Linked DNA regions of Styela clava. The protein of the gene in region 1 interacts with the protein of each later gene in a pairwise test. Links are inferred from orthologs where the notes say so. Each region holds a gene or a part of one and is shown on either strand. Other genes may lie near its edges.

Evidence for each region.
Region 2: the proteins of ribosome biogenesis protein BRX1 homolog (region 1) and putative rRNA-processing protein EBP2 interact in binary tests that used the Drosophila melanogaster proteins (3 or more experiments, as listed by UniProt). The link is inferred for Styela clava from reciprocal best matches to the Drosophila melanogaster genes CG11583 and CG1542.

Annotation. Positions count from the first base shown.
Region 1 is NC_135250.1:7,875,250-7,891,890, reverse strand, and holds ribosome biogenesis protein BRX1 homolog, read left to right. Parts: upstream 1-9,298; 5' UTR 9,299-9,368; coding exon 9,369-9,512; intron 9,513-9,656; coding exon 9,657-9,768; intron 9,769-11,651; coding exon 11,652-11,816; intron 11,817-11,896; coding exon 11,897-11,970; intron 11,971-12,388; coding exon 12,389-12,575; intron 12,576-13,146; coding exon 13,147-13,241; intron 13,242-13,315; coding exon 13,316-13,465; 3' UTR 13,466-13,649; downstream 13,650-16,641. Other genes in the region: complement receptor type 1-like, read right to left, coding at 1,580-1,665, 2,776-2,839; SWI/SNF-related matrix-associated actin-dependent regulator of chromatin subfamily D member 1-like, read right to left, coding at 14,722-14,922, 15,228-15,395, 16,490-16,641. UniProt on the Drosophila melanogaster protein: Required for biogenesis of the 60S ribosomal subunit.
Region 2 is NC_135259.1:3,402,156-3,418,901, reverse strand, and holds putative rRNA-processing protein EBP2, read left to right. Parts: upstream 1-9,247; 5' UTR 9,248-9,336; coding exon 9,337-9,441; intron 9,442-9,624; coding exon 9,625-9,708; intron 9,709-9,812; coding exon 9,813-9,900; intron 9,901-10,577; coding exon 10,578-10,807; intron 10,808-11,032; coding exon 11,033-11,198; intron 11,199-11,884; coding exon 11,885-11,972; intron 11,973-12,273; coding exon 12,274-12,388; intron 12,389-12,776; coding exon 12,777-12,848; 3' UTR 12,849-13,265; downstream 13,266-16,746. UniProt on the Drosophila melanogaster protein: Required for the processing of the 27S pre-rRNA.

The DNA.
Region 1 (16,641 bases):
ACCTCTCTTAAATTGAATAATTTCAACTTTAGTAGCATTTTTGTATTGTTAGGTATCAGTGGAAGCTTGAACATGGCCTTGTTTGTGCCGAAATGTGTAAATCGGCCTTTATAAAAACACTGGCCTCACAATAACTCATTTACGGCATTATTAATTAAATCTTGTTCCATCGCAACTAGAATTAATGCAAAGATCACTTACTGTTAATTTAATTATTTGACGATATCAATATGAGTACAAATTTATGATGCTACAAATTCTGTAGCATCAATATATTTTTTTGATTTGTTGGTTATCTATCTAAAACACTACATGTATTATGTCTACAAATGCGTCACGACAAATACCAATTACCCACTTATGTAAGTCGTATTTGTGTCGATAACAAAGCAAAATACACTTATAACGCCCGACTTTTTGTCATTTCTTGAAATGCCAGTTATTTGAAAAATAACATTATCATGCAAATGCGTATTATGCTATCAATTACGTATTTGAACGTTTTAAATTACATGTGAATAAACTACATTGTCTCAATTTGTCCCCTCTTCTATTTTATCAGATTTGTTTTCTCCCTAAATGAGTTCTGTAGCTGATTTCCCAAGATATGTCGCTAATTTGCTCAGGAATTAAACCTATTCGCATTCAAGAAACGATAAGCAAGTTTACAATGGTCATAAATCGGTCGTCAAAACAATAATTTTATTCGTATCATAAATTTGGGCATTGACATATTCATTCTCAATACTGTAAACTACATCCAGGCACATTCACCTTGTACCACTATTTTTAGGTATATATCGATCTTCGTATTGTGAAGTTTTATTTAATTCATCATGAAAGATTTTTTCAATTTGACAGTAACGACTTTTTGTCTAAGTATTGCTTATCAGATGAACGTAAATTGTAATATCAAATTTTATCAAAATTCTGTGTTAAATTCTCAGTTATTTACCACCGAAAAGAATTAAATTTGAAACACTGATATATATAATACGTTTAATACATTTTGTAATCAATCGTTTCGTTATCCACCATAAATCTGCTCCACAGATAATTGAAATTGATCTACCAAAATAATGATTCCTAATTTATGATTGCTTTGGTATCGAAATTCTGTGTTAAATTCTCAGTTATTTACCACCGAAAAGAATTAAATTTGAAACACTGATATATATAATACGTTTAATACATTTTGTAATCAATCGTTTTGTTATCCACCATAAATCTGCTCCACAGATAATTGAAATTGATCTACCAAAATAATGATTCCTAATTTATGATTGCTTTGGTTTCATTAAAAAAAAAACAGAAATTGAACGCATCCATAAACGGTCTTAGCCAATGATAGTATATTATGGGATTCTTACTAAAAAATTTGGTTTTATTAATTGCTTTCAAATATGTGACCTTCTTCAAAGGCCAATGCGCTTTTCAAGAACTCTTTCATGTTATATTTTGCCATGGGCGATGAGTATATATAAACACATAGAAGCGTGCAAGCTTGCTAACAGTTTCACTTTGCAACAACCCTTGCCAGAAATATTTTTTTGTTACTCTGACGGATATAAAAACTTACTTCATAAGGTCTACATCGCCGAACAACTCCTTTCGCGTTACAATCTTCATTTGATATTGACGACGAACATATTAAACAAGTAGTAGCTGCAGCAAATGAAAAGTTGCATAAATCGTTCATTAGGATTTGCATATGTTTGAAACCTTTCTAGAAGTTATAGTCAAAACTCAATTATTTAACCTTCAGTACTAATCTGGAATATTTTGGATACAGCCCACGACCATAAATGTCTCTAGCAGAAAGTTTCAACAATTATGTTCCAGCAGTTTTATCCCAAATTTTTCCGGTTCGATTGTTTTCTTTGTTTATTTTTTCCGAGATTGCTTTTGTGTATTTACCAATATTCTACATTTGATAAAAATGGCAAATCCTCCCTCAAAGTGGTATTCTAGTATGGTAATTCTAGAATTTAAAATATGCATAACCACAAGGAATTTAAAACCAAAACCACGCTAAACTATCCGGAGGAAGTACAGATTCCTATCTGTGGCAAAAGGTTTGTTATTGTAAAACAGTTTTGCCCGCCACATACAGTTGTACTTTAGTAATGTTATGGAGGCAAATACCTTTAATACCACGTAACTCTAAACAGGCACATTGTCATCTTAAAAAATGATCCATTTCTACTATTTGTTTTTACAACACTAACAACATATAATTAGTACAATGTGACGGCCATTATAAACACTCAAACTGTCACCTTACTTAAATGTCATTTTGAATATAAAGAGATCGCGTATAAGAAACGGGAAATGAAGTCGAAGGTCACGTGATAAGGGTCAAATTATTGACGTAATAATTCCATTAACATATTCAGGTTAATTGATATTTATTTAATTTATAGAATTGTTCAAGCATTTATTTCACCACCGTGTTTAATATTCAATGTAAGTCTTGCATTTACATACGTAATAACTGCAGTAAAAACTATAAAATTTAAAACTGTATTTAATATTCTAGCAAATTATGTAAAACATACTATAAGAAGTGTATGCTTTGCAGTCATATATATATTTCATTCTGGTTCCACTTGTATCAAATCATGAGAATCATCAAGTTTTTACATTCAAGCAAATATATACATGTTTTTTGACTGGATTTTCATTTTAATATTCGAGACCTTCTGGTAAATAACGCATTCAACATAATGACTATTTTTCTATAAACAATTAGTAGAAAAAAAAAACTTCACTTACCTATGCAATAAGGAATCACCACATACAGAATTGATATGATTTTGATCATATGTCGTTTTAACATTATTTATTATATTTATTGTACATGAGTTAGATGAGTAATGCTTTAAATAGTTATCTGTAAAGCAGAAAGCGAAACGTTAAAAAGCAAAGGATTTTAAACCTTCATATTTCCTATCCGAATGGGCAAGGTTTAAATAAACGAAAAAAGATATATATATTGACATACATTGGTGCAATGACATTGTAACATTTGATGCGTTACATAAAATAAAATATTATTATATTGATTAAATTCCTTGCATTATATATATGACCTAATATTCCGCTCAGAGGTAAACGTTTAAGGTCAAATCCTGAAACTGAGTAGAACTGCTCAGAACTATAGTATCTAACTGCTCAGAGACATGAAACTATCTGCCCTCACGAAATATTAGCTATAAATAAGGATACACAAAATTTCGCTTGTACTTTTATAACGCGAGTACGCAATTTTACGTATAATGAGGCGTCAATGACCATCGAATTATGAAGTCACGTGACAGTACTTGATTTCAAATGAATAGAATTTATTCGAAGTCACTAGTTCTCAAATCCGAGTAAAACCTACGATTCGTTTTGTTTTTCTAAAATGTTGATCGCTTACCTTTGCCATGTTTTAATTTAAAAAAAGACACATGTTGTAAGCTACAACTGATTACGTAGGAAATGTGCATAACTTCATGCGCCTGCAGCTAGTTTGTGCATGTTCTATTCATTTCAATATTAATTATGTGTTTAATCTCACTTTCAGGTTGCATTCCGGTGGTTGTAGCCTGCTGTATCAGATATTTGATATATAAGCATTACAGCATGCGACCATCTCGTATAAGAATTCTTACATCGTTGATAATTTCCACCAAACGTCTATTTAAGCATATATTCACGTTATTCAAATCACGTGTAAGTTATCGAAGCCTCACAACAGCAAATTATGATTTTTATCTCCGAATTGCCTTTTCTAAAATTTCTTGCAATTATTAGGCACAAATGTGACGCCTCGATTACGTACTTGACTGGTAATACATATGACGGCGCTTGACACAATTTTTTCAATTTTAAGAATATTTCGCCAAAAATGATTTTACTAATATTTTTTGTTTGCAGTTAGGATTTATGGACTCATATCGCTCCACACTGTCTAGGCGTTAGATTGACTAACTTTTGCATTAACTTATAAACGGAACAGCAAAGGAGCAAAATTTCGACATCAGAAGTTTGGCCGTGAAATAAATAGCTGCCATATTATTACTTATTAACGATCTAATAACAAAGCGTGCTTTTTCCATTCCCTGCAATATTATGCCGAACAAAAGTGAGTGAAGCATTATATACCTGACACATTTACCAAGTATATATATCTTATATTTTTAGTTTTACCATACTGCTAATATATATTTCAATATATACAATTTTTAGATTATTATATCTAGCAGCTATTTACAATCAACCTTTCAGTACCCAATTTTTCTTCGTAATTGATATTAAGTTATAGGGAGAAACAGCTCACCACATTGGATGCGCTGGGGAAATTTTCTAAACTGCATAATAACGTACGGGAAGGTGAAAAGGCGAGATGAAAGCCACCTTGCCCAAGGCTAATTTTGTATGTATAAACGTCAGATTACAAAACGTTCATCATTACTAATTTTTCAAATATATTTATATCATCTACCCAAAATTGATCTAGCTTGGGCTAATTGAAAACAAATTTTTAAATTTATGAAATATATTTTTATGTTTGGACAACCGCATTGTGGTGATAATAAGTTTTACGTCACAGGCTAGAGAGAAAACTCGTGGAAAGCTTATCGTAGTTGCAATCAGCAAAACATGACTTTCTGACAGGGTTTCATCCCGACTGCCGGTTACAAATACGTCTGAGACACATTCCTTAATCACTTTGTAATAATTTTTATATTGGTAAAAGTGATTTTAATAAACTATGTCATCATTATTCTATTTGTCGACTAAACCGTAATTACATGTTGCTTAAAACCCACCTTTTCAGGGCACCGTTAACACGCGCGCTTTCGGCAACTGTGCTTTGTCACAGTAATGTTACAGAATAAGACAGCCATATTTGTGGTCTAAAAATGCTTCCAGATATTATCGCACGCGCGGAGAAGTATTCTAATATCTAATAGCCTGTCCTCACTTTCGGTACTTTTATACGCCCAACTAAATAAATATGCGTATTCCATGCAATTTACAATCAAAGACCGGAGTCGATTAATTACTTTTCTGTGTAAACAAGAACTTGAATGCGTCAAAGCATGACCAGGCACGAAAAACGATACATCAATTTTTTTTACATGCGTATTAATTTGGCAAAAGTGTTTAACGAAAATATTATCGATCACACATTTTACCGCCAAAATATTTGGACAAAAATATAGCTTGTTCATTGTTATTACCAGACACGCTAACTTTTGACTTCTATTCCAACTCAACAATCTTATTTTTTTGTCATAAATTTATTTTCTTCCGTTATTGATCGGGTAAATTTCGAGAAATATTTTTTAGTATCGCGTTTTTCTAGCTTGAAATAAATATCCCAAAAACTTCGAAAGAGATTTATAAATTTCATATTTGACCAGGAATTTCTTATCGTTTGTCGCCAAATCTATACCAATTATATATTCTCGTTTACCATTCCTAAACTGGAACGTAATTTAAATTTTACTAAATTGCACTTTTTACTGATTCCCACACCTAGATTTGATATCGCCATAATTATTGTGTTGTTTGCTAATCATGGTTATTTTTATTACCGCAGATACTAGGTGGATAACTACTGTTTTTAACGGCATTCTGTTTTGAACCTACGTATACTGTTTATATGCTTGTTGGCGTCAAGTTATTGATAAAATGCTTGATAGCACTATCTCGGTATGCTTGAAAATAACAAACGAATTCTCTTGCATCTTATGTTAAAAAATCGAAGCCCGTCACGATAAAAAAATACGAGACGAAGGGGCGCAACTCGACACGTATGTCGATTTTTAAAATACCACGTAAATATAACTAAAGTAACGGTATTGGTATTAGTTTTATTTATTTCAAAAATTTCTATGGACTCTATGGGATTCGTTTGTTTTATGTGATGAAGTCACAAAGTTGAAAAACGCGCCCCTCGTGGAAGTTTTTGGTTCGCGATCGTTGCGATCTGGGGGTCAATCGAAGTCGGGTGCTGTAGTAAAACATTTCATACTCGTAATACTTCATTTTGGTTTTCGTGTCCATATGTTTTAGCATTGCGCTCTTGAATATTGATTAGGTATTTCTATTGTTAAATGACAATGATGCAACTTGAGATATCCGGATTTAAATTTTTTATATCCCTTTTTCGCATGTAGACCATTGATAACAAAATAAATAAAGAAACATAACTAAAACCTCATCATCTTCATTAAAACCGTAAACTACTAAACAAGTGAATGTATAATACAAGCAAGCTCGAATCATCTCCAAGATAACCTGAATAAGTTGAAAGCCTAAATGGTGTTATCGCGTTTCCCGAAAAAAAGACTGGGTCTTAATTCAATTATCTTCCGAAAAATAACACTAGAGCTTATTTTGGGCCGATGTCTTTTATTTTCATTTATCAAAAACAAAATTACAATGTAGCAAATTACGAGATTTTCAAACATACAAAATATGAAAACCGATATCCATTTACTTATAAATAAAACGACTTCATTTAAAATAACTGCTAAACATAGAATATTATTCCTTTAATACGAGTAGGAAAGATTTCTTGCTATCGAAGCTTTGTGTTCATATATTTGATCATTGTACTCTTGTTTAATAATATGCTAGAAAATTTTTCAAAATGATTTAATGCCAGATTTACTCAATGAAACATTTACGTGGTCCACGTAACTCATAGTTACCATGTACAACTTCTTATTTGTACTTGACATTTTGTGCATCCTGTGGAAAATGGAAAAATAAGTAAATAGGCCGCATTCAATAAAAAAGGATGTGATTCTGATTCAGATATCTAAATTCGTCGTGCCTCGTCGAATGACAATGTCTTCCATTTCGGCATAACTTAAAACGTGCTACCGTGTTTCCCCGAAAATAAGACCTAGTCAATAACGCGAAATAGTATTTTGACCCAGTCGATAACAAGAAATCTCTCCTACACGTTTTAAATCAGTGGTTCTCAACTTTTTTCCTGTTAACTACCCCCGAGTCATGAAATATTCAACACAAACCCCCAGTATAATCAGACACTAAACAAAGTTGTAATATATTGACTAACAATTTTTAAATTGTGTTTTAAAGCAGTGGTTACCAACCGCTGGTCCGCGGGCCGGCACCGGACGCTTTTTTTCGGTCTGCGAGAAATCTTGTTGTTTTTCTGCCATCTCAATCGCTTTACCGAACCCGAAATAACGACGTTGCGTTTGTTTATTACAAACAATTTCTCTTCCGCCGACATATTGATGTTTGCGGTATTAATGGCCCGACGACGTCATGGCGCCGAGTAATCATACTTTTTGCTTTTTCGGTTCCGATTCATCGCGAAAGCGTCCGTCAAATCTCGCAAGATTCAAAAACCCAAAGATCGGCACAAGTGTTTTTTTGTTCTACATTCTTTTTCTGCTTAATATGAACATCCAATTAAAAGGTTATGAATACTTTGTTCAAACCAGGAAACAGGGCAATATAATATTCCAGGGCTTCGTCTTGACATCCAGTAAAATATGAGCTGGTCACAAGACGTGCAACAAAAGCATGGGCCGTTGAGATCTTTTCTAGGTGATGCACAGCAGGGCAGGGAACCTGGTGCCAAGTTACCGACGACGTTGTCATCTTAATGTAAATTTTGTTTGAGGCGTTGAATAACTGCAGAGGGCTCAATATGAGATCAGTTGACCGACAAAGCATTTTGATATTTTGTAACAAGAAGGATGACAATGGGTCTTCTTTTGGACAAAGTTTGATCCAATCATTTCAATTTTTGGCCAGCGCATTATTTGTTTTTATTCATGCGAAATGTTTTCAAGTGTGTCTTTTGTTACCTAGAAGCATAGTGAGTGCCCGACATTGCATTACATTTTGCAAATATATGTTATTATTTTTTCTATTCAATTCATTTCAATTTTTTTGCCGATCCGCAAGTAAATTTTGTTTAATTTTACCGGTCCGTCAGAAACGAAACCACTGTTTTAAATGATATTAAACAAAATTATTCATTTCATTTATACAGAACATTGGTGTGAAGGATGTCCCTGTTTATTGCAAATATTGCACTTTGAGATTTCACAGTTTTGCTGCAAAGCTGTGGATTTCATATTGTTGAGTAAAAACAACGCAAGATCAGGAAAAATCCACGCGAGTTCCAATCGGCACGCATTTTCCTCTGATAGTAAAGGACATAAAAAATAGCAACACATGAAAGCTGCCATTCAAGTACCCCTGGAAATCTTCTCGTGAACCCCTGGGGGTTTGCGAACTCCAGGTTGAGAACCCCTGTTTTAAATGATTGATAATCTATGTTTTGCAGTTATTTTGAATAAAAACGTGTTTTTTATAAGTGAATGGATATCGGTTTTCATATTTTGTATATTTGACAATCTTGTAACTCCCTACCTTGTAATCTAGTTTTCGATAAATGAAAATATAAGACACCCCATGAAAAAAAAACCTAGTGTTATTTTTCGAGAGAAGAAAATTGAAATAAGACCCAGTCTTATTTTCGGGAAACGCGTCGGTAGTACGCGCCACCTACCAATAAAATAATCGAGTTGCACAAACACAAAAGGTCGAACGCGAACAGTACTTACTATACCGAATAATTTGAATTATTCAGAATTAGAATAAAATTGAGTATAAGAATAGGGAAAATAGTTTCCGCATATTGTGGTCAAAAGACGCAAAGTAATAGCCCTCGAGTGATTTCTTCAATAATTCGATACTGAAAAATCAATCTGTCCACTATTTAAAGAGTAAACTTATTTTTTCTCAGTAACAAAAAATAGCATAACGATTCTCAGGATTTAATCGTTCCAAGAAAAAAAACAAACAGAGGTGATGTTCGCGAAAACATACGTTTTATTAGGGTTAAAGGTCGTACAGATGAGGTTAAAGTTCAAAGCACATGTGTTGTGTACTGTTTTTTGGGGATGGGATATACAGATAAATATTACCGGTACCGTACTGTATTCTGGTACGGTATTAGAGTTCTTTTGAAAACGCCTTTCAATATAATATCAGAACCGGTACTACGTTTTAAACTTTTCTTGAGGTTTTGTGTGCTCTCCTGATTTATTGTGCAGTTTTATTTATTTTGTTTTTATCAATTATGTTATCGTCTTACTCTTTTATGATAATTATGAAGTCGAAATAAACTTCAGTGTATCACTGATACTATCAGTAGGCTACTTGTAATAAAGTAAATTCAAGTCTAAATTCTGAGTCTGTTGGTAGGTCACTTACATGTGAAAATCAGTTGAAGATTGCATGTAGGTTATATATTTGTGTTCTATTCATATTTTGGTATTATAGTCCAGTACAGTACTGCAATACATAATTTATACAAAATGAAAAAGGGACATAAACGAAAACATTCATCAGCTTCAGCGAAAATTCGGAAACAAAAAATTGCAAAACTTGCAGAAGAAACAGAAAATGATAAAGAAGAAGTACCAAATGAACTTAACGAGATGAAGCCTTTAGTTGAAAAGGTATGTACTTCGATAAATATGAACCTATTAATTTTAAATTGTCCTGGTCAGTTAGTTGTGTAAAAGTTTTAAAATTAAGAATCGTGTATTGTTGCTTAAAATGCTTAATCAAATTTTCTATATCGCTGGTTTTATTTATTTCAGGGGAAATGGAGAAACAAACAAAGGGTTTTGGTATTCACATCAAGAGGAACAAGCTATAAAGCTCGATATTTTATTAAAGATTTACAGAATTTAATGCCTCACTCCAAAACAGGTAAACAAGATTACAAATTGCTTATCAAACAGTTTTATTAGTTTATATACCGTAAAAGCGCCTAATTTCGGACAAAATTACTATATTTTCGTCAATAACTCGGCCATTTATTGTCCAAACGGTGCCAAAATTGCTCGGTAAAACATTCGTGCGGTAATTTACATTCCCTGCAAATTTCGGTTCAATTGGACTACTTTTACTATTGAAATAATCGATATTTCTTGCCATCTGACCGTTATCCTTCACTGCCCTAACTTCGGACAGTCATTTTCTTCACTGCGCAACCGCGACGCACAGAGAGAAAGAGGCTTCCGATGCGGATGACGTAATCACGTCGTTGCGTGAAGATAAGACGCTCGATCGTCGTCGTAACGTAACATTGACGTCACGACGAAAATGCATTATTTGAAACTTCCGTCGTCCTATGTTTACATCTTTCGTTCGTTATTTTCGATACTTCAGATGAGTATAATAACACGTTAGTTATTTTAATCAGGAAATGCATACGTAAATATATCTGATGCAAACCGTTTCAATCCACAATGAAGTATTTTAACGGGCTTCTATCGAAGTCTTTGAAGTATTAATATTCTCGACAGACAGCTTTTTTTTATTCTGCGCGGTTATCTTTATAAATGATAATTTATATCAAACACACGGAAAATCCGATTGTGAAGTTTAATTTAAAATTCAACTTAATCTTGTAAACATGTAGGTTCCGTTTATTTGTTGGAGATTAAATTTATTTTTAATTTCGAGTGAATAAAATTCACCCAGGCCGTATTCAATAACTGTCATTTCGACTACTAATCATAAAATAATGGTTGAGACTGTGCCATATGGACGTTGGAATTTCCATAGTTTTATATATTCGATTTTTAACGTCATCGATTAAGTGTGACATGTATTTTCATTAATGTAATTTTGGCATATATTCATACATGGCCGAACAAAATACAAAAATATTACATTGGAACGCCGTCTTTATCTTAACGGAAATTGTCATATTGGCTCCGTTGTGTCTGGCGTCAAAATTCATTTCCGCGACGCAGTGTGACGTCGTGTCGGAAGTGAGCGAAAAATAATCTACGTGAGGTTGACGTAATTTTTGACGCTGCGTGAAATCTTAATATTCTTACGGAATTTATAATTCAGAATTTTAGGTTTTATTTAAATCTCGTACGACATCTTGCGATCACTCAAATAAATTATATACATTGTTGTCGCCCTCTACCGAATGATGGTATTTCGACGATGATAGCTTCAGTAGGAGCGACGCTCTGCGCCGTTGAATGGCGGGCAGTCAATTTTCGGCAAAATTTCCGTTTTTTTACCAAAAAAATAATTATGCAACATTAAAAAAGATGAGAATAGATGTAGATATAACAGCGCAACCTATAATAATTAAAATTAGCAATATACGGCGCGTTTTAGCCAAGATATGGCCGTTCAAAAATTTTGTCCGAAGTTAGGAACTGTCCGAAGTTAGGCGCTTTTACGGTACGGTACTTTCCTGTGTCTCGCTACATTGACCATTTGTAAAATAAGAATCATCTTTTTTTTAACGTTGTAACAAATTTCAAAAATAGGACCACAAATATAAGAACTGGCACCATACAACAATGAATAGGATCGAATACTAACTTTGTTCTGTTCTCTTTTCCCATGTTTATATGACCTTATTCAGCCCAGCTCGGCGTATTTTTTCTTTGTTCTTTATTTATGAAGTCCTGCCCAGTTTTCAGTAGAACCAACCATCGCCATACTTTCTATAGTAACCAGCTGTCCCGTTAACTGATTATGCGGAAAGAAGTTAGCAACATGCAATTGAGTTCATCCCACCTCTCTCGTTATTATGGATATAAATTATAAATTTCTTTCAGATGTTAAAATGGACAGAAAAGGACAGCTTCAGCTTGTCAATGAAATATGTGAAATGAAAAACTGCAACAAATGTATATTTTTAGTTGGTAAAAAGAAGAAAGATCTTTATATGTGGATGTCAAATGTTCCACACGGGCCATCAGCACTTTTTCATGTTGAATATTGTAAGTTTTTTTTTATCTTTGTGGAAAAAGAAAAGAAAAGAGAAAGAGCATTGTGTAATTTCATCATTTTATTTTTACAGTAAATATGATGAAAGAATTGAAATTTACAGGAAATTGTTTGAAAGGTTCAAGACCAGTTTTGTGTTTTGATAAGGTATCGTATTTCCCTTACTTTGCTTCATCTACAATAGCACTTCCATATAGACATAATGCGATCTAACTGAATAGCGGTGGCCTAGCAGATCAAGTATTAGACTTAACTATGATGGAATCGGAGGTTGAAATCTCTAGTTTAAATCCCATCCCCTATACCTCAAATTGGGTGGGCAAATGCGAACCGTAAAGAATCCGATCTTCCCAAAATAAAGTGGCACATTACATATCAGTATCTTCATGTAGAGAGCCTTTCAGTTCAGAACCAAAGTCGTGAATAAACATCATATAAACAAAATAGTAGTCATTTTAAAGTATTGCATTTGTACAAGTACTTTTAGTCCTAGTATAAGTCCTTCTAATTCAAATCTTATGAGTTATCAATGTCTTTTTGTTCATTTGTTTTTCTGCTCTTTCAGACATTTGATGATGAACCACACAATCGTTTATTGAAAGAACTGTTTACGCAAATATTCGGAACACCAAGATATCATCCGAAAAGCCAGCCATTTGTTGATCATGTTATTTCTTTAAGTTTGCTAGATGGTCGTATCTGGTTTCGCAATTACCAAATTGTTGGAGAGAATGGTGACCTGGTTGAAATTGGTAAGAAACTTGTATGACTTAAGTGCCGTGCAGTAAATAAAATTGATCAGAGGTAAAACTGTATTATAGCTTGTGAACTGTGATGTTCGTACAACAGTGAAGGTTATGTTACTTAGTTAAGGTGGGTGATGCCTGAAACTGGGCTTTGAAGGCAAAAATTTACATCTGAAATAATTTTGACTGGAAAATTTTCTTTTAGGGTTGTAAACAATTTTAACACCTTTCCGAACTACCAAGAGAGTCGAATTTAAATGAATTTTGGCACATGTATACCTTCTTTGAAAAACCAATGGAAATGCTCAGCGAATTTATGATTTTTTGTCTGAAATTTTGTGTTTCATCCCATTGAAAAAGTCTGTAATTCTGACTCAATGACTTCGCAGAGTCAAAAATATGACTCTTATTCCAGTGAAAGTGTGCCCTGAGCCACTCTGTGACACTGCATGCAGTTTACATGTTTATGTCAAGACCCCAAGGTCTAATCCCTATTGGAAAGTTGTTCTTATACAGGACAAAATATCGATTTTCTGACTTCAATCTTTATTCAAATATAATATATCAATTTTTACAGGGCCAAGGTTCACAATGATTCTTGCAAAAATTCTGAGTGGAAGCTTTGGAGGACCAGTCTTGTATATAAACCCGGACTATACATCTCCTAATGTTGTAAGTTGGTGTGAATTATGGTTTCTGTCATTGTAAAAATTAGAATGGATTAAACAAGTCTCTCTGCATTTCAGATGCGGAGAATGCTGAAAAAGAAGTCCCAGGCAAGGTACACTGGTAAACAATTGACTGTCCAAGCCCGGAAAGAGACTCGCTCAAAATATGAGAAAACTTTTCCTACTGATGATACAGACACGGTATTTGATACTCATGGAACTGGCTGATGGCAATATTTTTTGTTATGTTGAAAGTATGCTTGCGGATGCACTGTTTGTCTACCAGCGCATTTAGTTGGTCCCACAGAATCGTGTGCAAAATTGCTGCCTCTCTCTGCATGGTATTTTGATGATAGTGACATATTATTGAGTATGGCATCACGCCGTTCTACAATATAAAATGTACAGGCAATTTGAGAGTTTTGTTTTTGATAAATAATGGTGGGGATTTCTGTAACGATTAGCGATTCTGATGCAAAGGTCTAATTCTACTGGAACAATTTTAACTTCTAGATTGATAGGCTAGACTTGGGAGCTTAAAACATTGATTCAATAGCTGTTTGAAGACTTCATAGCGATGTAATTTCATGTGTCAACGTTCATGAACCACAAGGATTTTTGGAGGGTTTCTGGAATTTCTAATTACCAAAAATGTGGATTTTCAGGGAATTTAAGGCATGAAAAATTGCTATGTATGATAGAGAAAAATTCTTTTTTTTTTTCGTTTCAAAAGCCGAACCTTAAAACCTTGCCTCTGATCACAGTTACCACCCAATCTCTTTAAAACAAGCACAATCGTTTCCAGTGAGAAACAAATGTAACTCATATCTTGGATGACATGCATTTAAACCACATAGCTGTTCAACTGAAATTTCAGTACCGAATGTCAGACACTCACTCCTTTTACAGCAAACAGAAACTGTTCCAGTCATACAGCAAGTTAGCCCAAACTGTTCTGGTATCTTTTTATAAAATGTCGGTAAGCGATGTAAACAAAGATCTCATTCTTGTAAAATGTAGTCTGTACCCAAGCTCTTTATTTAAATACCTTGGAACAGTAAGACAAACTCTTACAATACAGCTACAAATAGACTCTTTAGTTGACGATTGTAACAAGACCTAGCTGTTAATGAACAACTCTACTAGACTCATTCTGTCTATGATAAACATCTTTTTACTGCAAGAGGCTTTAATAAGAAAATCCTTTATTACAAAACAGACTGACAAAAAGTGTGACATTGCATTTAAATCCCCAGTTCAACATAACAGAAGGCAGCATTGGGTCTAATGACCACAACTTAAGTATCAGTCTTCTGATGTATTCATATCATATAAACATAACAGACTGAAAAAAGTGTGACACTGTAATTTAACCCCTTGGTTTAACAAATCGATCTTTGAGACAAAACCATAACTAGGTATTTAGATTCAAGTCTCCTGATGTAATCGTTAGAGTAGGCATCCCAAACCTATGATTGATAGTTTCAAACGTTCGCACTTTTCAACACTTGCTCTAATTCCAGTCGACGTTGTTGCACCTTCGTGTAAAAGTATCGTGTAACAGCTTCTTGTGACCAATGTGCAAAATAATGATCAGCATGTCTTTCTTCTTCTTTACTGCCCATAACATCAGTCATTGTCTTCAAGTCTCTGCACTGAGATTCAAGCCAATCGCCAATGAATTCCTGTGATATTAGGATAATTGATATTGTGAAACAAGGTTCTGAAATTGTTGGCTAAATAAAGATCAAAATTTTGGTGTTTTTGACATTCTTAGATTCACAAAATAATTGGTTATGATTAGACAAACTGGAGAAAAGTGAGTAAATACTCTTTGCTCGTATATGTAATCATATGCACTCAATGCAAAACATGCAGCAAATAGGATTTAGAAAGCGGTTCGAATGAAGAAAATCACTCTCTCACGTTGCTATATTCAAGATTGCTATATATTTTCATTGTGAAATGTTAAACAGATATGTCATCATACCTGTGGATTGTCAGAAAATCCCATGTAGAATTCTCTTTGTATTCTATGTTGTTGTACGCTGCTAACAGTATCAGTAATCTTTCTTTCTAATTCTGCTATTTCTTGTTGACTCGAAGATGACAGAAGAAATGAACTCATTTGAGTCTTTAGTGTATCATCAACTTCAACCTAGTAAAATAAATGATAAAAATACCAGATTTCCATAATTTTCGACTGTTTGATCAATCAAAATGGTGTCAATCAAACGGGAACAAACTATCACATATTAATATACAGATTGGTTATAAAGTATGTTAATGAGTTTTATTTTCAATCAGTGTTTATTCAAGTTTTTCCACTTCATTCAATGTACCTGCAGAGGCCATATATATACATTATATATGATATAGATAAATTGCAATTCAAAATATTTTATGTACTTTATTTTTCTTAACTCTTTTGTTCCGTATAACATATATATTCGTACTACCATCCTTGGTCATAATAGTTATTTTCGGACTATTTTACGTTTATGTTCATGTTTTGTGAAGTATTCCGCACTAACTAAATCATTTTGAGCATCCAACTATGATCCGTGCTTGATCTGTCAACATTTTGTTTTTTTGTAAATTTTTTATTTTACTACTAAGTGAATTTTATTTGTGTAGGTATTTCAAAGCTTAGAGATACACGAAAGTATTTGTCATTACTTCAAAAATAAGTCATTTGAACGAGCGGGAAACAATTTCGCGCACATAATAAACAAACAAAGATTCCAGACAACTATTGTGGACATGCTCTCACATATCATTGATTATTTCGCGTTTCGCTTCGCTTGCGAAGCTGAGTCCGGTTTTTCTTCAAAGGTGACGTAACTCTCTTTCAGAAGAGCGCTTGGAATTTCGTTTCTTTGTAACACGTGTTCATCGAAGCGATAAGAGTGTGAAACGTTCTCTCAAAAATTTTTGAAATTTCTCTCTTCTTACACGCGTAGGGTCGAACGGTTTCGCCTACGTCACTTGGGCGCGTTTTAGTAGGAAGACGCGAAAATAAGCTTTTTAAAGAGATATTGGGGGTGTTCCTTGTACGTTTGGTTAACTGGTCATTACATATTATAAAATGGTACATAAAGTCGATTGTATACAGCGGAAAAAAAGGGTTAAGAAATATACGCAGTAAAACAGTTTTTGGTACTTTTTTCTATGAATAAATACAGACTTGATAACTATAATCCAAAAATATATATTGCATAAAACTTATTAAAATGTTTATCATAAAATTACCTCAATATCATAGCAAGACTGTTTCTTTGCATCTGCTGGATCAACACTAATAACATGATGAATAACGATTGGGTCTGGTGGATGAAGTAACGGTCCAAGTAGCCGTGGAATGTCAGCAAAACGAATACGACGTTCTCCTAATATAGGTCCAA
Region 2 (16,746 bases), on another chromosome or scaffold:
CTTAAATTCAATGCGGTTCCGCAGCAAATGAAACGATCAAGAGCATTCACACCGGCCACTTATGTATTGGATGGCTTTAGTCTGCGATATTCCGTACATTGACTTCGGATATTATTATGATGTTTGCATATTTGTTGAGTGTAGGGACACACTCAACAAATGTGCAAACATCATAAAGATATCTTTAATAAACTTAGGGACATTTTTATTTGTAAACGACCAAGATGATATATTAAATTTTCATACTGTAAATCGTGAGTGATATTTGGCCCGACAAAGGTCATTTTGAGAAGTCAATTTGTGATATGGTGTGCCTTAATCATTATCGCGTTACGATGTAGGACAAAATACCGTCGAAACGTTAGACTATATCCTGATTCACTAAACTCGTTTCGACGAATTGAGCTCTTGTATTTGCACATTACACGAGTATTGTCACCTAATCGAGTCCTGTCCTGTCGGCATGAATGATTTCCTAAGCCTGTCTGGCATACGTGAACATTCAGCGCACGGGATTAGTCGGGTAAGTAGACTGGCCACACGCAAGAAACACAAACGCTGAAATTTTTGAATGTTAATCAATTTGTTCGTGGTCGGCTTCAGGTCCTTGCAAATCCTATCTATTCTCAACGTAGATTTACATTCTCTACATTCAAACACTTTAGCTTCATAAATAAGGCGGCTTCCTACTGAAAGTTGTTTTTCCTGTGACTCAAACACCCAGTTTCCGTCCCACCTGGTTATTTAGCTAGCGTCGATATCATTGTATGATACGCAGTTCCAATCACACTAAGTCACGCATAGTTGGCAATAATACTGAACTTCAATCTAAGTGCCAATTCAGAGAAGCTTTTTAGGCAAAAGCTTTCATTTTGGTATTAACACTTGCGCAAGATTATTTTCGTCTAGCTATGACTGAGCGTATTATAATACAAACAAATTGTGCGCTAGGTATGAGTCAGCACTTCTTATCGATGCTCGTACGATCATTCGTGATTTATGCGAGAAATATTTATGTCGCTTCAGTGCAGGCCAAGTGTGAGTCGCATCAAACCCACGTGAAGCAATCATTTCAGATTGAATCAAATGCCACCGCTTCTTTGTATACTTTGTATATTTAAAAAGCGAAGTCATCATGAAAATGTACGTCCAAATTCTTTGGGTGGTTGACTATCCAAACTTGACTTTTATTTAAAAATTCCGAAACAATAATTAGGACTGGGCATTTCGAATCGAATATGAAATTATCGGAATCGGTTCAGAGCGAAATTTCGAATGTCCGCCATCTTGTTTTTTTTTTCCGCCATTGGTCGAGGTGAATTTCTCAAATTTTTTTTATTGAAGCCACACTTTTTCAACGCAATTCAGACATATGACTCTTTTCTGTATTGAGGTATTGATGAAAACGCGTTTTTTATTGTGTGTGAACGCTCAGCAATCTGCCTGAGTAATGTATTCTATGTTTTCGGTAATTTATGTGTCTGGGGGACTTATTCAATAAGAAAGTTATATATATACAATTTTATTACAGTATTCGAGATTCGATTCGAAAAAATTATTCGATTCGATTCTGAAATGATCTGGTATTCGAAAATGCCCAGCCCTAGCAATAATATAGCTGAAGTAATTATGTGAGTACAGTATTTATAAGACAAGAACAAAAGATATCACTCATATAAAGAACATTGAATGCCTAAACGTACTTCTGTACGTACTAATTACTGTTGCATCAAAGCATCTATCTAATCAATATAATAATAGAAAAAGTAATAGGCGAGGGGACGTAATTTCACATTTTAGTGCATTGTTCCACATGAATGTGAAGTCTACTCTTGTATGGAAATTCGAGGATGGCTAAGCTCCAACATTATTTATCAAGTTGAACAACCTACAAATCAGTTACAAACGAGTTTTTGTGTTGGTTTTTAGGTATATATACACATATATATATTCTCCATTAACGATTTTTAACGAAATTGGATCAATAGTATTCTCAATACAATCACTAACATTTCATGAATGATCATCAATTCAACATTTCTATTTAATGAATGAGTGATTCTTGATGCATTCTACGTTCTCCACTAACATTTCATGAAAGATCATCAATTCTTTTTCATGAATGAGTGATTGTTGATGCATTCTTTATTCTCCACTAACATTTCATGAAATATCATCAATTCTATTTCATGAATGAGTGATTCTTGATGCATTCTACATTTTCCGTAATATAGAAGTAACACCGAATCACAAATAATCATAAAAGGCTCTTTCACTTCAAACCTTTCATATTCATTGGAAATCTCGGACTCGCATAACAGAAAACTCGATTATATTGCATATCTTATCAAATTGACGTCATCCTTGAATTGTATGGCTCTGATTTCAAAATCAACGTCATTCTTGATGGTAAGCGTCATCGGGCACACGCAATGTATTCTGGAGTTCCTAATGACTCATTTCTTGGATCTAAATTGCTCCTTATGATATTCATAAATGACCTTTAAATAATCCTGTATACAATTTACACATATTTATAATGACGACACAGGTCTTTCTTCTTATCCTGTTGTAAAGTCTAGTAACCAAAACCGTCCAAAAGTTATCGGCTGTGAGACGAGGCTCTGAAAAACGCCAAGAAAATGAGTTTTGTAGCGCACATACGGGAAACTAACTACTTGGAAATAAATATAAAATGTTCCTTAGAAATTTAGTAACAACTAATACCTTGTTCGTATTCCCAAAAGTTGCACGTTTTACGAAAAAGACGCTTTTACTACAAGAAATATGCGCTACGATCTACCCTATATTCTCTACTTTTCCGGCAACATTGGCCAATGAACGCAGACTTCTGTATGACGTAACAATTAAAATTTGATCAGCTGTCCGCATGCGAATGAATCTCAGTTTGTAGCCCTTCCATCGTCATTTTTAGTTTTTGGACACGTTAGTGCACATAACGATCGTTTCAATATTAGGTTGTTGTTGGACACGTAGTGGACATAACGATCGTTTCAATATTATGTTGTTGTTGTTCTTGTTCTTGTTGTTGTTCTTGTTCTTTGACACGTTTCTAAAAAGTCGCTTTTCTCTTCGAATACTGGACCAATTGCTTTGAAATTTTCAGTGGTTGAAGATTAATTTTTTCGCTAGAAGGCTATTACTTTTGTTTATTCTTAAATTTTATATGAATCCTATGAGATATGATATTTCATACAAAATTTCGCGGTATTTATTTTTACTCATGGGAACACTGTTTTACACTTATTTCAAGCGGTTTCGCGATCGATTGTCTTGCTCAGTACTACAGCTACTGTAGGTCGGTACTGGTAAGTTGCCATACCGGTGCCGTAACGCAGTGAAATTGACTTATTCCTTCCGCGGTATTACTAATGCTGCAATGCAAGTTTTATAGCCTATCGTATGCGGAACGGAATATCAGACCTACAGGTTCGGTACCGGTACTGGTAGCTCAGTACGTAAGTACGATACTGGTACTGGTGCCGGTACCGGTGTCTTACCACAATGAAATTACCGTAACTTATTCTTTCACTGTCCTACCAGTGCAGTAATGCAAGCGTTGTAGCACTTGTAGCCTAGGCTACTATATTTGTTTATTTTGATGAGAGTCTACTGGAAACAACATAAAATTTGAAAGGGAAGAATTGTTCTGTGATCAATTATCTGTCCTAAAGTGTAAATAACATAAAATTTGCAAGGGAACAACTGTTCTGTGATCAATTACCGTATATGGCCTACAGTGTACAGGTAAGATGCTGGCTGACTGCTAACCGGTACTGGTAGCTCAGTACGTAAGTACGATACTGGTACTGGTGCCGGTACCGGTGTCTTACCACAATGAAATTACCGTAACTTATTCTTTCACGGTCCTACCAGTGCAGTAATGCAAGCGTTGTAGCACTTGTAGCCTACTATATTTGTTTATTTTGATGAGAGTCTACTGGAAACAACATAAAATTTGAAAGGGAAGAATTGTTCTGTGATCAATTATCTGTCCTAAAGTGTAAACAACATAAAATTTGCAAGGGAACAACTGTTCTGTGATCAATTACCGTATATGGCCTACAGTGTACAGGTAAGATGCTGCCTGACTGCTAACTCAGTACCGCTTGACACGTTTTTAAAAAGTCGCTTTTCTCTTCGAATACTGGACCAATTGCTTTGAAATTTTTAGTGGTTAAAGATAAAAATTTTCTCCAGAAGGCTATTACTTCTTTTTTCGCTATGACGTCATCAAAATTATGTGACTCTACGTGTCCATATATTTGAGCATAGCTCTCTTGTTGTTCTTATTCTTGTTTTTTGACACGTTATGAAAAAGTCGCTTTTCTCTTTCATTACCGGACCAATTTCTTTGAAATTTTCAGTGGTTGAGGATGGAATTTTTCTCCAGAAGGCTATTACTTTTATTTATCTCTAAATTTTGTATGAATTCTATAAAATCTGTTATTTCATACAAAATTTAAGTGTATAATATATTATGGGAACACTGTTTTTAACCTGCCGAGCGTGACGGCGCATTCTGAAAATTCTTGCTACTCAAAACTCGGAAGTTTTATGAGGTTACCGGTGATACTAAAGGTACGGTGAACCGTACCGTACTGCTTCGCTTGGTGTCAATATATTTGTACACTGTGGTATCTGCTGTTATAATACCATGATAAATCGAATAAGTGGGTTTTTTCAATTCATGTTGAAACGAAATCGCCACAGGATCTGCAAATTTCGGTCTGGTCTATCTGTCTCGCAAAGGAGAAGCGACTGACATGACAAGTATACTGGTAAGCATACTTATGTAAGTAAGCTGTCCGTCAGCCCTAAAAGGCTATGACAGTCACTGTACCAAAATTTGTACTCCGATTCAGGTGTTGTTAAATTGACGCATATTATTTTGTAACGTTTTTTATGTGAAATGTTTGACTGTGGTTCGGTACCTATCCGGTAATACATAATTAACTCATATCACGAGATATTTTAATTATTGTTTCAATATAATCAAGAAGATTGGATCATTGTCACAGGACCGAAAAAAAACTATGACTGTTCCTGTACCGTCACGGTATCCCGATACAGGTACTGTTAAGTCACCGCATAGGATTTTTGGGTAATTGTTTTGCGTGTCCATATATTTGAGCATTGATCTTCTGTATTAGTTAAGTTATACTAAGCCGGTGTTAAAAAGTATAAGTAAGTTATTAAACACTTGTATATCCATACCATGAATATAGGACATGAGAAGAGGCCTTGAAAACGACCAGAAAATTAGTTTTGTAGCGCACACCTGGTAATTAAATAAATAAAGTTTTGTATGAAAATGAACATACTGAACGCATTCCAGCTTGCTCCACAATCCTGATGCAAAATTGAACATAAGGGGATTCCCAGATAATCAATGACCATAGGTTTACAGCAACACAGCATAGGAGCTATGCAATTCAAGAACCCTGCTGCACACTAACACAAATGTATTTCTGTAACGTTTTGTCTAACAAAATCAGACTTCCTCAGACAGCAGTTTACAACAAAGAACAGCATAAGAAGTTGCATTTATTTTATAGTTAAGCTATCAAACGTATTCATTTTTAAGCAATAAAGTCACAAATTAACATCGTGAGCACAAAAACACAAATAAATCGGTTATTACTCAGAGAAATCTACCGGAAAAGTCAAGAAAATCAAATGAATACAGTATGTACATAACATAGTGAACATCAATATTACAATTAGTTTTTTTTTTCAGTTTGGTGGTTGTGCATTTGAAACAAAGGCGATATTATTTATAGAAACAGGACCTACGACACTAACAGATATCTGAAGAAAAAAAATAATGAAAAATATTTATTAACTTCAATATCTAATTCACTTTCCTCTGAATTGCTTCCGAAATCCTCATTCTCGAAAATCGACTTTCCTCTATAAATGTACTGTGGTTTTTGCAGTCAATGCAAAAATCTGTGCAATTTAGGTTGTTTTTGGCACACATGAATAAATTATTTTGACATCAATTTTTCTTACCCTTGCAATTTGCCATCTCAAGAATCGATTTGGGGGCTGGAAGTAGATCCATCAATTCTAGGCAACAATGATGAAGTCCTGCCTGGTACTTTGCCCTCAGGACATGCTTCTTCAGTGAATCATTGTTGGGAGGAAAAGTATAATCCATATTTTTGCCAATTTTCAAAAGACTTGGTATCATTTACATTTTTCATATTCTCTTCTTACAGTGAACAAACAAATTACTCATCTTTATGTATTAATGACTCGTCTATCTCATAGGATCTTCATAGTTGAGGAAAACATGAATTGAAAAACTCAATGAAGTTCTCCAACATCAGTTTGATGGGCAGTTTCAATTGCAGAAATGTGCCAAAGTTTTCAATATGAATAGCCCATCTAAGCTGTTTGCAACTGTCATCTTCTCATATACCTTTACGCTTTTCTTCAAGACTTCTTGTTCGGTTCATTTTATTCTTACAGGTATAGCGCTGATAGCAGCCCGGATTAGAGCCTGCGTTAGGTTGGATTGGTGGAACATTGCCGTTTTCGTTTGTTGTACAGTATCTAAAATGAGGAAGAAAATCATATTTGGAACAGCATGTAAAAATACCGCTAAATACTGACTGATACTTTTCATACATAATGCATTTTATCTGATGCACTACAGTCCTGCAGTGTTTGCATACTAGACTACATCTACACTGAATCTCGATATATCACAGTCTGAAATGCCTAATAGACTATATTTTAAAACATCTACTGTCTGTCTACAACTTGATTTCACACCTCTCAATCGCTTCTAATGCTACTTTTCGTTCAACTCCGGCATAACTTATCATTGCTTCCCAGGTTCTTGTCGACTCGAATGAATTTAGACAAACTGACATCAGTAAAATTGATTATTTTCCCGTCCTTCACACAAACGCGCATTACAGAAACAGCGCCTTTTCCGTAAAACGTGCAACTTTCGGAAATGGAAACAAGTCATTATTTGTTACTAACTTTCTAGGGAACTTCCTAAAATCAGTTTCAGGTAGTTCCCTTATGTGCGCTGCGAAACTGAAAGATAAACGGCCTCTTCTCGCTATTAGTTGATAGCGGACTTGCTTTGTGTTTCTAATCAATACTTTTTAAACTCTAAAAAATTATACCAAGTCTTGTAGATCAATTGATATTGATACAGTCCCAATGCCGAGATAAATACTTTCTCTAAATAAACTAATGTTGTCTCATGGATGAATAAATAATGTATGTAGCTTGGAATTTTGTGATTGAAAGTTAAACCTTCTTACCGAGCTTGTCCATTTGTTTATTGAGTGTATACTTCAGTAGTATAAATCACTGCTGATATTATTTTTATATAATGTACTCTTCTTTGACTTTTGAATATGTCTCTCGAGGAAAATTTTTGAGTTGTCGTAGGCTACTCAGTTGGCTGTGAGGCCTAGCCTTGTTTGCAAGAACTTTAGTTATGTGCCATTTACTTTCGCGTACCGGTAGTTATTATCCCGATCGTTGTCCATCGGTAGTTGCTGCACCATTATTTACAGATCTCCGCGAGATGGCGTGCATGATTACAAAATGGCGGCGCCCATATCCCTTTCGTGCTTCTGCAAGAAACAACCGTAGCAGAAGTGGCTAAACTTGATGGATGCGGTATTTGGTTATCATATAACTGTATAACTGTAGTCATATAGCTGTATAATGTCAATTTTATGGGAGTAATGCAGGGATGTGGCAGAGCGTAATGCAAATGAGATCCAGGCTTAGGTTTCCAGCCGACTACCGGTACTGCTGTACTGTACTACAAGTCGGGAGGCGAACAACTGTTAGTTACTGTACACGGACAACTCGACTACAAGAGAGGTCTGGTGAATTGCAGAATTGTCCGTATTTTCGCATTTTCTACGGCGAAGTTTTACAGTTTAAAGACTACCGGTATAGGCAGATAGGAGTGTAATTTCGATCTTTTCAAGGCTCCAACGTCGAGAAAAACACATTAATATTCTCTAGAAGGGATTTGGCTCAGTGTTAACTTTTGCTCATGTCAGCATGTTGTATAAATACAGTCTACAGACGAAACTGGGGCTGTCTGTTGTAACACTAGCGAAGACTGCTGACGTTATAGGACTGTGTGCGTGTAAATTTTTGAATTTTATTGATATTGGATGTTTTGAATGCGTATTTTCAAACATTTAAACCTTTATACATGACTGTAACACATATATATATATTTACGAATGTGAGCTTCGTAGCCTGTACTTGATACATTCCCAGTTGTGCTTCTTGATCTTTTGTAGAAAGCCCCCTTCACTAATGCAAAAAATGTGAGATTTGAGAAAAAAACGCCATGCTTTAAGTAAAAAAATTATCAATTATCCAGTTAGGGTTCGAGTAAGGAATGATTTGCAAATTTGAATTTCCGCGTACGGCACACTATCCAAATTCCAAGAATGTCCAGTCATTTGGTTCAATAAAACAAACACTCCAGGTGTCTCACAAACGAGGGTCGTCTGGCACAACGGCAGATACGTCATATTGCACCATGCTTGTCTTGATAATAATCTAAATGAATCGCAGCCGTCACGTGACCAAAATTGCAGTTTTTTGTTCATAACTCTCAAATGCCACTATAGAAAAAATTTTCCTTTGGTAAATCGCATTATTTTTCCCGAGGAATTCAATGATGACGATTTTAGATTGCACTTTTTTGCGCAACTTCAATTTACTGTAGTTTTACCGATATTGAGGGACAACCATGTTCAGACGTTCCCCGAAGGAGGGTCGTCTAATCATCTGTAAAATGGGTATCCCGAAACGACACAATGTTGCTCGATCTGTATAGTGTGCCGTACGGTTCCCAGCGCAATCTGTATTCCTAACCCTAACTGGATAATTACTAATTTTTTTTTAAAACGTGGTGGGGGATGGTTTTTTTGATGAGTGCTTTTTACTAAAGATCTATAATTCTGTGTCACAGTCAAAGTTGCTTTGCAGACCTCACTTCGTCTTTAGGAACCAATGTTCTGAGCGCTTGGAATACACTCACCAACGCATCTCTGATTACTCTGCATGGGTTTGCGAGTTTGAGTCCTGTGGAAATAACTATGTGTGAGAGAATCAAGTTCATGCATTTGGAACAAATTATTGGCTAACTAATTCCTTACACGACCTGAACCTGACGAGAGGCCGTGGTTCACCATATGATTAAGCCATCTTATCACAACTTATTATACGTTCCGTTTATTATCAGGTTGTTTAAAATAAATCGTGTGATTACTTTTCATCTCTTCAAATTCATATAAATACTGAAATAAGATGTCAGAAGAGGAAAATTATCCATCAAGTGAGGAAGAAAGTGAAGAAGATGAATTGCATCATCCAAGATTGGCAGAAGATGATTCTGATGATTCAGACAGAGAGGTGAATATATCTAATAAGTTTTTTAATTAAAATATGTCGCAAAAGACTGAAATTTATAATTCGATAATTACGATCATATTATTAATTACGATTGTATTATGACAAATAATATGCCATTGTGATGTCGAAATCTGTTGGACTTATATTATAACAATCAAATCCATTTTATATTTACATTTCTAGTTACAAGTTGCCTACAAAAGTGGTTTGCTTAAACCAGGCTTATATTCAGAAGCGAAACCTGAGCGGCCAGCTGTCAATAATGTGGTAAGTTAACGAATTCAGTATTAAATTTTGACATCAGCAATGTTTTCATTTGATTGAAATGACTAAATTTTCCAATAATTCTGGAGTTATTACTTTTATTCTAGGATGGGATTCTGGAGAAATTAGAAGAAATTGAACAGAAAGATATGGATTGGTTAGAGAGGCTTGATATAACAGTAGAAAGAAGATCAAGTATGTGCTTAGCGCTAAACTATTGTATCCTACAAACTTTTTCGAAACTGGGATTCTAGGAATACCCAATTCGTCACTGCTAAAAAGTATTAATTAAAATGTTTTGGCTCTTGCTTTAAGAACTACAGATCTATTGATAATGATAATTTGAAATATTACTACCAAAATGGCAAAAGATAGTCCCAATACAGATGAAATTTCCTATACTCTTCATTGCTTTGCTGCACCTCCACTCATTTATTATTGTACTCATTAACAGTGTTAAGCAATATTGGTGAAGTCAAAATATGGTATATTTATTTGTACCAAGATCAACAATATAACAACAGCTTGTTAAACTTTCTAGTTATGTATTGCCAATATTCATTCCTTGTTGCTCAGTGGTGTGGTGCATCGTTGACCCCTGCACCTCTGATTACCCTACGTGGGTTTTCATTTTTTAATTCTGTGAGGATTAATTATGTGCAAAAGAATTGCTGGACTCCTCACCGCCATAGGGGGTTAGCGTAACTGCTTGGTTGGTTATGGCTTCCTCTGCCATCAAGTCGATGCATCTGAACGAATAACTGATCTCATACAGGACACGGCCGTGGTATGCCATATGATTACGCCGTCTTATCACCATCTCTCATCCCCAGAAATCCAAGATAAATATGTAAATCCTGCATTTATTACAGAAACTGATGAAATGTTTGAAGAGGGATTAAGTGCTGCTGAAGCTCAGGCACAGGCACAAAGCAGACTATTTACTGTTCACAATGACTTTAAACGGGAACTCATGTTTCTAACACAAGCAAAAGATGCTGTATTAAAGGCAATTCCTCTACTGAAAATTGCTAATATTTCCACTGTAAGACCAGAGGATTATTTTGCTGAGATGGCTAAAAAAGATGATCACATGAAAAAGGTACAGCATTGTGATATGTACTTTTTGCTTTTGTGCATTTGACACATGGGAAAAATACTTTTTAAAAAGAAATTTTCATCCCAAAAATATTAGCACACTTACAAGATAATCGTATCTTTTCAGCTTTTTGACATATTTAGACTACTTGACTGTCAAATTAAATTGTGATTGATGGCCTGTTAATAATGTTACCATTTGTCATGTAGTGATATTTTTTACATCCAGGTTCGTCAAAAACTTCTGAGTTTACAACGACGTAAAGAATCTGCAGAAAAATATAGAAATCAACTGAAGTTAAAGAAATATGGAAAGAAAGTGCAGCAAGCTGTTGAACTAGAGCGAAAGAAAAAGAAAAGGGAAATTTTAGACAGTGTGAAAAAATTTCGAAAAGGTTTGAAATAAACAATGTTATAAAAAGGAATATGTGCATATGAATAACCTAATTCCAGCCAGAGTTCTCTTTCAGTATTTGCTCACAAATTTCCATGTTGCTTTTTTAATATTCAATGGCATGGATTATTTTGTTGCATTGCAACAAATTTTAATGAAAAAACTGACTTCTAGGCATTATTCTTAATTTTGTTATCATTGAAAACTTGGAATCACAAGCATATAATTGTAGTCTGGTTCATTCCATTCCCGTTAAGTAGATCAGGACTACTCAACTATTTTCATCGAAGATCCGCATACAAAACTTCAAAATCATTTGGGTCTGGTCTTTCCAGAAATTATATTCGGCATCCTTATTCGCACACTAATGATTATTAGCTAATCAAGATTGTTTATTATGGTGTTATAGTTCTTTACATATATATTCAAAACTATAAAAGTCATTTCATAAAAGGGAACTTCAAAAGTGGGGCTAATGATGCAAAATAAAGAATTAGGTGCGGCTTGAATCAAATACTCGAAAGGTTCGGACTGCGGTCTGCCAGTTGAGTAGCCTTAAAGTGGACTATATTATATTGTAAGGCCCATGTTATGACATGACGCACTAATAACATATTGTCACTTGAGCTTTTTTGAGAAATACTTGTGGCCATCACCCAATGCTTAGCTATATTAAACTATTTTCAGGGAAAACAGACAGCATGGATTTTCTGGATGATGAGAGGGAAGTAAAACCTGGCAAGAAATCTCAACTACAAAAAGTCGAACAACAAAGGTAAGGTATCTAATATCTATATGACATGATAAAGAAGAAGTATAAGTATTTTTATAAATATGAATCCTATTTTTTTCACAAAATTCAGTTTTATTTCACAGGCTGTTTAGGAGGCCATGATTTTCATTCATGATTGTTTTCACGGTAATCTTTGTTACCTGGATGCTAAGTCCAATTGTCATTTTCCTGTGTGAATTCCTCCAGGCTTTGGTATAAATGAAATTGCGGTGCTTGATGTTCAAAATACAGGGTTTGTTGAATTTTGCTTATAAAATTTAAAGATAATGTTGTTTCATTGCAGAAAGAAAAGCAGAACCTTTCGTAATAAAAAATTTGGTTTTGGTGGTAAGAAGAAAGGAATGAAATCAAATACTGTGAAAAGTGTGAATGATGTTTCAGGGTTCAAACAACCCAGAGTGAGTTCTTTTTTTGCTTTTATTCTGCTTTTTTTCATTTGTAGAAGGCTACGTATTATCACTGATTTCAGTTTGAAATTAAAAAAAATTCCGTCCAGTAGGATGTGAAATTGGCTATTTTTTATGTAAAATTTGCTATTTTCAGTGTGAAATCATTATGCTATGCAATTAATTTTAAAGTATACTTCTGTAACAGCGAACTATAGGGACATTGGCATCCCTTAATTATATTTTGTGTGATGATAGAATAACGAGTATGAAGTGGATAAATGAAAAAAGTTTATAGATTAGATTTATTTTTTTAAGTTTTTTTTTTATTATTAGTAGTGTTAATTAGAACAATAGAACAATACCAAAATTCAGCTACCTAACAATGTTTATTTTATAGGGTAAAAAGAATTTTAACAACAAACGACCTGGTAAAGGTAAAAGACAACAGATGAAAAATAGGAACAAATGATAACAATTGCGAAGAAGTGATATGCTGTAACCTAGCGAATAAATTTGTTCAATAATAACTAGTGAAGTATGACGATTGAAAAAACGTTGCGACTGAGGTGAAGAAGCGTGTACAAATCATCCCACCTATAGCTAAAAAAACAGTTTCAGCTGTAAAAAGCTGTTGTATGGAATAAATAGGAGAATTTCTGTACAGACGACAATTGTAACGATAATCAACTTATTTGCAATCATATTTGTCATTTACAATGTGTGTTGTCACATAGTCCATTTTCAATCGATTTTGTTATTTTCTTATGGTGACTTGTGGTTGTACAATTTACAAAATATTGACTGATCAATTGTTAGGAAAGTCTTGGATGGAGAAAATCAAAAACTGCTTGTGATGAATTTCTAATATAGAATATCAGCTCTTGGAGTTTTGTATTTATGCATTTTCTGGTTGTTGGTTGCAAATTTTCTGTTTGAATGAACGACTGTAAAAACAAGCACAAAGGCAATCTAATGCTCATAAAATATCCTTAAACTAGGCCTATGTGGGGCAGCCATAATCTACATTATTTGATCGTCCTACAGTCAAACCAGTAAGCCAAGGTTGCTGAACAATTTTAACTTATTTACAAACTACAACGAAACGAGCGCCATTCTCTGCAAAAATAAAGCGCTATCTAAAACAAATTACCGAAACTATCCCTGTCTAAGCGAGACATGTCTGGGCAAGCAATTGCCACGAAGACCCTCTCAATTGTTTCGTAACAAAGTGTGTGGAAGGACACTGTCAATCATGAGAAATTACGGCGTCAACAATAACAAATAAACGAGAATATCGGTCGGAGACCGAAGACTTATCGATCTTAGATCGGTAAATAGTTAATAACTCGCTAATTATACGACATAATTAACCCATTATTATTATACCCATTAATTGATAGGCGTCTGGTCCGAGGTAAGGTGCATGCACATGCAAAATTTGGAGCAGATTCAATTACGCGTTCGTGAGATATCGCGTTCATCTAACAGACACACACACACACAGACATACATACAAATACCTATCAATATACTTACCGATCTTAAGATCGATAAGTAATTAGTACACAAGTTAAACGGACGCAATGTTTAAGTCAATACAAAAAATCAAGTGAATGCGATTCTCGATGTAACAATAAGGAACATTGCTCACTACGCAAGTCTATTTGGAAATTGAAAACAATGAAGTAGACCAAAGCAGCATTAAGTCGTCCTGTAACCTAAAACATGACGTCATAATACACTTTCCTAGTCGCGGGCGACGGGTCTTTTGCTTTTAAATTAGAAAACACCTATTTAGAGATTAAAAAATTCAATAACTAGCACTACACACATTTGTGCTTCGGAGAGATGTTGATAGTTTTTTCTCAAAGATGTGAAAAAATCCTAAAGACTGAGATGCTATGATGTCACATATTTAGGTATACATCCGAAATAACTCTAAAATCTGACTTTTTTACTATTTCTGACAAAGATTGGAAAAAAGATTTATCAAATATCTTTATCTGATGCCTGAAGTTTATGTTCATTTACTTGGTCTGTCGAATATTGTCGGTCTCGGAAACACAACGAAAATATTGCATAACGACAAATATCGAATATTTATAGGAGGAATAAATTCAAAAAATGTGTTGGGCATGACTCTAATTTTCACATTTATAAACTCGTTTGATCCATTTTCCCGAGAACTAATGTCTGTTATAGTGTTTGGGCGAGGAGAAGATTATTATTACCGGAGTGGGCACCAAGTAAAATATTAATAATTCATTTGAACGACATCATGTTTGATCAGACAGGAATATCGTTTTCAACAGCCACACATGGCTGAAATCAAGTCAGTGTATGTTTAAATTGATAAATATCACGCGATGCTCTGTGATCTTGTAAAACGCCTCATATCACGTGATCATATAAACCCACGTGATCGTCGCTTGTTCAAGCTCGTACGAGTCACAGCTAAACTCTATTTCCAAAATTGTGTATTATGCCGTCATGTTTTTGGTTACATGACGACTTAATACAGCTTTAAACTCCTTACTTGTTTTCAATTTCCAAATCGACTTGCGTAGAAAGCAATGTTCCTGATAACTGCAATTCTGTATAATGAACAAAAATGTAGAAATCCAATTATGATGTCATAATAAATTTCGTGAAAAGTTAAACGTTCCTTAAACGTCATAATGCATTTCTAAAACAACAATATGACGTCGTAATGAATTTTTGCAATATGTACAATACAGAATATTATATCGTCACACATTTTTCAATTATAAATGCCCCTCTCCCTTCAGAAATTCTTGGTACGCCACTACTGGTATCCTACGCGCATTAAACGTGTACCCAAATAGTCTCATTGATATATATAAAATGGTATTTTACGATAAAAACTAAATCAGATTATCCAAGATAGGTTAAAGGTAGGCATAAAATTTTTAACGATGTACGTTTGTTAAGACTATATAGTGAGTTTTCTGAGTCTGTAGACCAACTTGTGTTCGATTCGTAGCAGAATTAAATTTGCAAAACTTGTTATCGTCTTTGACTCATCCTGTACTGCTTGTGTTGAATTAGGTCTTTACACTTTTCGTCGCTCATGACTTAATTGCACCGCCCACAAATTCAGAGAACGTCACTTCTCGAATAGTTTTCAATGCTTCTTCGTATTTTCGCAGGCCTGCAAGATTTTTAAAACATATCACGAAAACAATCATCAAAATGGCTACAAGAAAGCACTATCTTGTGGTCACATGGTACGAATGGCCGTGGCGTGGATGCAATTGTACGTGGCGATATATGTTCAGGGGTACAATGAGTGGGTGTAAATGTCCATCGGTACGAATGTTCATGAGTGCTAATATCCGTGGGTGACTTGTGCTTATTCATTAAAATGATGACTTATAATTGTATATATATACAGTGGTAGATTCAATTTTTTTGTCAGCCGGTTCCTTCACAGAAGTCATATTTTTTGAGCCAGTTCTGTTACAAACAGAAAATTGACAGTAACCAGTAATTCTAACCGGTTCGCTGATCTCATAAAATTCCGTGAGGCGCTTCTATAGAACCGGTGCGAACCGGCTGGATCCCATCACTGTATATATATATATGACTGTTTCTCAAATTTTACATGCCACGGTGAAATCTTTTGCTATATACACTATACTCATAATGTACATCCGATTCTTTGAAAAAAGTTAACAATAGTCGTCCTAGTTAGCGACACATAAAAAAAATACTACATTGAATTCCGTGGAAATGGCCTAATCAAATTCTGATAATCGATGCCAATTAAACTGATGATAATGACATCCACATATAGAAATTTTCAATCCGTGATATGAAAGAAAGCTTGGGATTAACCTTTAACTGTATTTCTATTCAAATTTGATATCATTAAAATTCCATACGCTATGGATATATCCTGAAATATATATTGGAAAATTGGTTTGATTTCCGCTAGTCGATTATTTTTTGGTGAAAGTTGGAAGTTCGTGAACGGTATTTGGTAAATTCAATTGAAGGATATTCTATTCATCATCTTTATAAGAGATATTATGGGCCATATTGGCGGATGTAGGAGATCCAAATCACATTTTTGTTGGAAATAGAGTTTAGCTGTGACTCGTACGAGTTTGAACAAGCGACACGATCGCTTCCTAATTATCAGCCAATCACATGGGTTTCTATGAACACGTGATATGAGGCGTTTTACAAGATCACAGAGCATCGCGTGATATTTATCAATGTAAACATACACTGACTTGATTTCAGCCATGTGTGGCTGTTAAAAACGATATTCCTGTCTGATCAAACATTATGTCGTTGAAATGAATTACTAATATTTTACTTGGTGCCCACTCCGGTTATAA